Linked DNA regions of Oreochromis niloticus. The protein of the gene in region 1 interacts with the protein of each later gene in a biochemical or structural test. Links are inferred from orthologs where the notes say so. Each region holds a gene or a part of one and is shown in the gene's direction. Other genes may lie near its edges. The genes, in order: akap1b and mycbp.

The links.
Region 2: the proteins of akap1b (region 1) and mycbp form a complex in vitro, tested with the Homo sapiens proteins (2 studies listed by BioGRID). The link is inferred for Oreochromis niloticus from reciprocal best matches to the Homo sapiens genes AKAP1 and MYCBP.

The regions. Positions count from the first base shown.
Region 1 is NC_031979.2:5,263,324-5,267,247, reverse strand, and holds the start of akap1b (A kinase (PRKA) anchor protein 1b), read left to right. Parts: upstream 1-1,487; 5' UTR 1,488-1,640; intron 1,641-3,924.
Region 2 is NC_031985.2:11,668,100-11,672,023, forward strand, and holds mycbp (C-Myc-binding protein), read left to right. Parts: upstream 1-928; 5' UTR 929-1,236; coding exon 1,237-1,251; intron 1,252-1,481; coding exon 1,482-1,554; intron 1,555-1,663; coding exon 1,664-1,712; intron 1,713-2,933; coding exon 2,934-3,063; intron 3,064-3,148; coding exon 3,149-3,193; 3' UTR 3,194-3,364; downstream 3,365-3,924. UniProt on the Homo sapiens protein: May control the transcriptional activity of MYC. Stimulates the activation of E box-dependent transcription by MYC.

The DNA.
Region 1 (3,924 bases):
GATTGTGCAATTCTAATTAGCTTGCAGGTCAGTATTAACATAACCCAAAGTCTATCAGGAAAGATTTATTGTAATTTATTTAAGCAGTCTGTTAGTAAAACTTTTTTTAATTTTGACATGTCATTTAGCTGACTGAAATTTGGAATTATCGAACTGAGCTGGTTAAAGTGTCTCTTACTTTGCTGAATGATTTGCATTTTACGACAAAAGGCATCTCCTGATTTTTTATATTCTTTGTTTGATTGGCTGTTTTTGTTCACTCAGCCTATATTTGGTATCTATGACAGTTAAGAGATGTTCTCCCAATTAATTTTTTCTTATACCACTGGAAAGCCTGTTTATTTCTCCTTGATTGGTGCCACAGTTGTAACTAAAATGCATTTGTGGGTTGAGGATGTGGGTTGTATCCATGAAAACTTGCAAAGTGTTCTCTGCCAATGACTAATTACCTTAATTGTTGTGCTAAGTTTATTAAAAGTATATTTCTTTTTCTAAAAAAATATAAAACAATCTTGTGATCAAAACCTTTGTTCAATTTATTACTAAACATGTAAACAAACTTTACTAAGCAATGAAATGAACACAAAATAATTATACTTAAACTTATGTCAAGTATAAATGGGTTTCAACAGGGCATATAACAAAAGCCTTTGCACTTGTTTTTACTGCACTACAAACTTAAAGTATGTTTGAAAAAACAACAACAACAACAACAACAAAGAAAACCAAAATACAGTACTAATGCCTTAAAAGGAAATACTGCCCAGATAGTGAGGTACCTTCAGAGAGAGTTTGTACTCTGTGAGTGCTCAATGTTTGGTTTACTTTGAAAAGCAGTTTTGTGAGACTGGTCAGGTGTGTCTAAGTAAGGGCAGTTGATTTGGGCACAATGACTCTCTCTCGCTCTCAGCTTAAATAACAGAGGGATTTGCATTTTTGATTGGAAAGGGATTTATGACATTTTAAGGCTGGGTCAATGCCTTGAGCTCCTTGTCTTGATGTTAGAACTGTTTCTGAGCAGCTTTGCTGTGTGGAGGGGTACATTGTCCTGTTGGAGCTGTAGGGTTCTTGGTCTGCAATGCAAAGTGATATAAATAAATAAATAAATGCCATTATTTAAGGTTGTCCAGCAGAAAATTGTATAACAAAGACATGCACCAATTTAATTTTACTTATCACACAAGGTGCAAATCCTTCTGTTTGTAAAGTTGTGCTACTTCTAACGTGACCTTTGCCTTAATCTGATGACATTCATTTATATAGTAAAATTATATGAAAACGGTGCTCTGTCCCATCTGTACTCAAAAACGAATGTTATTTTTTCCCCATTTTTATAGTAGAGGTGACCAGGATGATATTAAATCTACCTATGAAACTGCATGAGCTTAACAGAAGAAACGTTTACCTTTACTGCATTCTCAGTTGACGCAAGACTCCAAGCGGCTTAAACTTTAGAGTATCGCGAGATTTGATCAGCTGTTATGTCTGCGTGTTTTTTTCCTCTTTTTTTTTTTAAGACTGGTACTGGTCTGTCAAACACGTGGGGAGGAGAGTGTGACTTTCCACTAGCGTACGTTTCAAAAAAGCTCACGTTGTTAGTGTTGCTATCATCGTTGCGGTACCGAGGACCCAAAAACATTGTAAGTAAAATAATTAGTCCGGGAAGGAAATGGCACACTGAAAAAAGAGACTGTTAGCTTTTAGTTTTCTATGTATTGCATGCATGGTTCGGTTTCATTCACATTTATGTGAGTATATTTTAGGGGAAAAGACATTCACTTGCATTTCTAGTGTTCTCTGTGGGTCGTCAAATGTTTATTGTGTCACCATGTGATCCCATGTCATTGAAAAACTAGCCTACAAAGCAACTCCTCCTAACTTGCCATTCAGAACAGCACACGTAGCTTCTGTTGTAGAAGTTACATTTTCGCACTTGCTTTGTATTGTTGAGCTGTGCACGTGCCAACGTAGGAGCATTGGTTCTTGGATAATAATAAATGCATTTTGGCCCAGAGTTGGGAGTCATTGTCGCCAGGCCGGCTAGCAGGCTAGCATGAAGGTCTAAGGCCCATGCGGGGCATTGGCAGTCTTTGGCTTCAAATGTCCTTTAACCCTGCATCGATTAGAGATACCCCCTCGTTGGTGCAGTTGGGTATAGTTAACGACTACGTATCACACAGCTTTATGTTGTGGCCCAGTACGTCTGTAAGTCGGGGATATGAAACTCTGAAGTGGCTTTAATAATGTAGCCACATACGAACGTAGTCTAAAAATAATACAGTGCAGGGAACATGCCATTAGCTTATCTTTTTTCATGTTTAGCTAGCGTTAATTTTCATAAACGTCAAAGCCACTGTGGTTGCTATGTAGCTAACTTCATGCTTTGTATCCTGCACTGCGGCCTCCTTAAACAGCCATGCTGTATTTCGTGTTTGCATTAGGTCACAGCCATCTCTGCTACAGGGTTTCATCCCAGACGGTGCCAAACTCCCTATATGCATTTGTCGTATGGGATTTAACATCTTATTGGCTGCAGGTTTTTCAGTTTAGTACGGGGCATAACTTCGCTGTTGGATATTTTTTTAGAATCTGAAAAATTCGGCATTAAAAAAGACCTGGCAGCGTAAAGTAAGTTAAAGTTCTTATAAATTGCTGCCTGCTCATAAGCAGGGTCTAAGTATATATTTTTGCGCTTCTTTCGAAGGTTATTTAGGTTTTAGTTGGCTAATGCAAAGAACTGTGAGGGATCCCCTTATAAAGACAAAATGAATCGCTTGAGTCACAAGTGAAAATGTTATTTTGGTATGCACAGTGAATTCATTTTTCCTTACCATATAGTCATGTAACGTTAAACTTCGAGAATTATATATGAAATTCACATTGTGGCCTTTGTACTTCCTAGCTAGCTAATTGTGTTAGCCGGTCTGTGGCGATGGAGTGCATGACCACACGCCACGGTTTTGTTTTGTTCTTTTGTTTTTTTTGTGTGTGTGTTTGTTTTTATGCTGGGACAGAAAGCATCGCCACTAGCATTATAGGGAACTACACAATGTCCTACAGTTGTAGTATTAAGGCATAGCTAGCTGAACGCTTTTAGCATTTATTGAGTCGTTGCTGAAAGACGGCTGGGGTGTTGAGGCGCACCTTCTGTACATCACTGGAGCCTGGGTCACATGTAAAGTGGACTGGTATGTGGCTGTAGCAACTATCAACGCCACCTAAGTTTACTAAGTTGTTAGTAGCAGCATGGCTCCTGTAAGGTCTTGACTTTTGCCCATAGGGTATGCAAGACTTGACAGCATATTGTATTAATATCCCGGTCAGTCTGCAATTCGGTTTGTTTACATAAAATAATTTGGTTTTCATTTATTTAAAAACAGTGTCACATTCATTGTTAATTTGTCGTAGTGTTGATGGTGAGTCCCAAGGTTCATTTAACATGAATGATGGTGATTAAAGGGATATGAGAAAATGTATGACATGAAGAATAAAGTTTAAACGCAAACAGGTGGGAATTGAGTGACACTGAACTTGTTGGTATGCAGGTATTTTGAGGCCGCATAATAATTTTACACTAGTCTGTCTGTGCTGGCATGATGTAAGATTTAGAAGGTGTAAAATAGTTTAATCATTCCTGTTTGAACAGCCAAGGTCACAGTAAGAGATGATCTTACAGTTTATAGACAGTCTTGACTATAAGGCCAGGAAAGGAACCAATAAAGACTTGTCTGACCTGTAAGGATAGCTCTTCATTTTACAGCTTGTTGCTTCCATTGTGACCTTTATATGGTGAGTGTGTTGTCCTTGGATTTAACAGCAACACACACAAGCTACACATGAAGTCTGGGAGCTTCATGTGTTGCATCTTTGCTGGTCCTTTCCGGACAGATCTTAAATGTTACTCCTGGGATCTGCTGGAACCAC
Region 2 (3,924 bases), on another chromosome or scaffold:
TTTTAGGAAACGGAGCTAAATCAACTCATCTTTGCCACACTAAGACACACCACAGCATGGTGTAATATGTCTAAATAACGTAACTGTAACTCTATATCAACATTCAGACACATTAAATAAGTGTTAATATACTTAAACGTTTCCAATTAAAGAAAGCCTACCTGTTAAATGTCCTAGCCAGGATATGTTTGTTAACAGCTTAGCTACAATGTGTCACTGATTAACGGGATATCGATCAAAAGCAGCTTACCTTGTGAAGGATTAAAAACTATAATTCATTAGGTTTTATTGGAGGTAGAAGCACAGGAGGCTTAACACTTGACAATCGGTGTCATGTTGAAGCCGGTGAAACAATAGAAACTCCTTTCCGTGCTGATGTTTTTACACCCGTCATATGAGCTTCTGGGAGGGGCCGATTTGAAAACGCAGTAGATAAGCCACGCCTAGTTTTAGACTATCCAATGACTGCAGCTCATATGTTTTATAAATCGGACGTTGCGCTGGTAGCGCGCTTGCGTGAGGGCTTGTGTTCACCCTTCCGTGTTGCCAGATAGGGGCGGCAGCAGTGAGGCCAAGCCATTTAAACATAAAAACTAAATTACATACAAAAAGCAGAGAAGTTGCACGTATTTATTTGTAAATTAAATTTGACTTTTTCTTCCCGAGGGTGACAATATCTCTCAAGAGTACCTCGAATATGCCAGTGTAGAAACCCGGGAAAAAAAGCTTCGACAGTGAATTATGACATTTTTACGATACCTTCGGTATCAGAGCAATCCATTACTCGATTTTAGAGCACTCAGTAGTATATGGCAAACAGGAGCTCCTAACACAAAATTCGGCTTGCTTTATTTCCCAATTATAGCGGGTTGTTGCCTAAAAGACGAAAAATCATATTATGGTAGGTTCTGTATGTCTGTGGTGCAAATCTGGCAACATAGCTTCATCGTCTAGTTTCGATGTCTGAGGCATTTCAGTAGTTTGCTCGTAAACTGAAAAACTTACGTTTCGTTATTGTTTAAATTTATCTTATTCTGACAGCTACTCTGTGGTCTTTCTTCTCCTTTTACAAGCTGATTATTTATTGGAAAAACTTCATTTCCGCGTGGTTGGATGTGTTGTTATGGCAACAGAGTCACCTCCTGCCTAGCATTCAAACAGCTGCAGCTAGTCTCAAGTTATTGGCCGTTTGGCACATTGTAGACGACCCGGAGTTACACGGCTATTATTGAAGTCATGGCTCAATATAGAGTAAGTATTTTTGGCCTTACTTTCTGTAGTTGTTATGTTTTCCGTGGTAATATTTAAAGTTTGTCAAACTAGCTAGCTAGCGTCATAACAACATGACCTCTGCTCGTCAACACGGTGGAAGGCAGTGAAGGCACCATGGGAGTGCAGAGTTTTTAAAGCGTTCTTGCTTTATGTCGGCGTATGAATGGGCTCCTAACTTATGTGTCATCCAACTATTTGTCTTTTTTCAGGCCTCTGAGTCGAAGCGGGAACAATTTAGAAGATACCTCGAAAAATCTGGAGTCCTCGACACCTTAACAAGCGGTAAATGGACCACCTGTTCGGCCTGTTGACGTTAACGATAATACATTCTGTGAAATAGTCTTTTAATTTGTTTTTACTGATATCCGTGCTGTCCCCCTCTTTCTTGCAGTTTTAGTTGCTCTTTATGAGGAGCCTGAGAAACCTAACAATGCCCTGGAGTATCCTTTTCTCATTTTTGCAGCCTTACTACAACCACAGGTGGTAACAATCAGTTCCTGATGTGGCTCACCTATATCTTCAAAGCAAAAAAGATATGTCACACTTGTATGTTTCAGATCTCATGTGTTTTAATATTGGACATATAACTGTAAGTGGAAAATGCACGTTTTAAATTATTATTTCATTTATTAAGGGGGAAAAGTTATCCAGATCTACCAGGCCCTATGTGGAAAAAGTGATTCCCCCTAAACCTAATAACTGGTTTTGCCACCAACAAGAAAGGCAACTGTTTGGTATAACCAGTAACAAGTCTTTCACATCACTGTGGAGGAATTTTGGATCACTCTTCTTTGCAAAACTGTTTTACTTCAGCCACACTTGAGGGATTTTGAGCTTCAGTTGCCACTTTAAGTCCAAACTTTGACTAGATAAAGCCTTCCAAAACTTTAATTATTATTTGAGTCATTAAGAAGTGGACATTCAGGTTCTTTGTTTGATCATGTGAAATATTTAAATGTAGCAAATGTGTAAAAATAAGATCTGGAAGTTGGCAAATACTTTTTCACAAAATTTCACTCAATCTAAACAGGTTTAGAGGTTAAACCACTGCACTGTTTGTGGTATTATCAGTCTTAAAATGTTATGATTGCAGACAATTTGATCATTTAAATGCACCATCATCTCCTGAAACCTTCAGATGGGCAATGAGGTGACTCCTGCTCCATTTAGAGATGAATGGTAGCCTTTAAGACTTTGAGTTTTAATTCACAATAAATATCTTAACATCTCCAATTCTACAGCCATGTAGAGAGGGGAAATGAACTCCATCAAAATTCATTGATATGCTGATGTTCTGTGCATCTCAGTATAACTGCAAGGATGTAGACTTGATCAAATAATCACTCAGCTGTGTTATTGTGGAAAAAGCTAGTTTCTTGTTATGGCAGCAAATTTAAAATGTAAGTTTTTTTTAATGTGTTCAGGGGATTTGATTTAATCTACTTGCACACATACTTGCAGTGGGTGAGTCTGTCACAGGCCATCAGTTCTTAAGCTAAGGAGTCATTCTCCTGCAACAGTTTCCCATACCTACAAACTGGATCATCTGTCTCCTGAATTAACAGGCTGAACAGAGTTGGACCTTGTTCTGCTCTAATGAAATTAGATATTTTTAATGACTAAAATTTCCATGCACTGGTTAACCTTAACCATGGCAACAGTTTCATAAAGCTTCATCTTGGGGCAGCTGGTCCAGAGCCAGCAGACACAGAGGCTCTTCGTACAGAGCTGGCTGATCTACAACAGAAATACAACGAGCTCATGGAGGAGAACAAAGAGCTGAGGAGCAAGGTGAGCGTTTACAGATAATCACATGTCTGTATTTGGTCCTGATTCTGTGACCTTTAACCTTCTCGTTTTCCTCTTCATCTTCCAGCTGATGCAGTATGAACCGTCGCCTGATGGGGAAGCAGCAGAGTAGAGAGGTTGTCTTTGCTTTTGTGGAGGAATAAAAAGAAAAATGTTACTAAAGCCTTGTTTGTAGAGTATGTAACTGTTTATTGAATAATGGATGTACAGTGAATGCAAAATCACTGTTACTTTTTTGTTGTATAACAAGAAGCTTTCTAAAATAAAAAAAATTTCAGCATCAGCCTTTCTCTCTGTCATGAAGGTCCTCGATTTTGCTTACACATGAAGAAAAAAAGAGTCTTTAAATTCTTTGTTTTTAAGGACCTTTTAGATTGATATTAACTTCAATGCCTACTCATGAAGTAAAATTAATTTTAAAAAAATAATTAGGGCATGCTGTTCACAAGCCTGATGGAAATTCTTCATTTGTTATTAAAGCTTCATCATGGATGAATTCAGACGCTGCTACTGACTGAAGTGTGTCTGGCTACAAAGGATTGCACTGCTTTTTGCATTCTGCCAAATCATTAACCTTCAAAGTGACCGAGTGGAGTTTTCCCAAGACCACAACTGTACTCTCACCAGCCACTTTAATAGGTACATTCTGCCATTACCTGATTGGAGTGCCTTTCTGCCCAATTCTTCATGGCACAGAAACATTCCTCAGGTCTTGGTCCATATTGGCCTCATCAGCATCACAGCTGCTGCACATCTATGATGTGAATATCAAAGGTTCTCTTTGGATGGAATCTGGTGACTGCGGAGGCCATTCGAGTACAGTGGACTCATTGTCATGTTCAA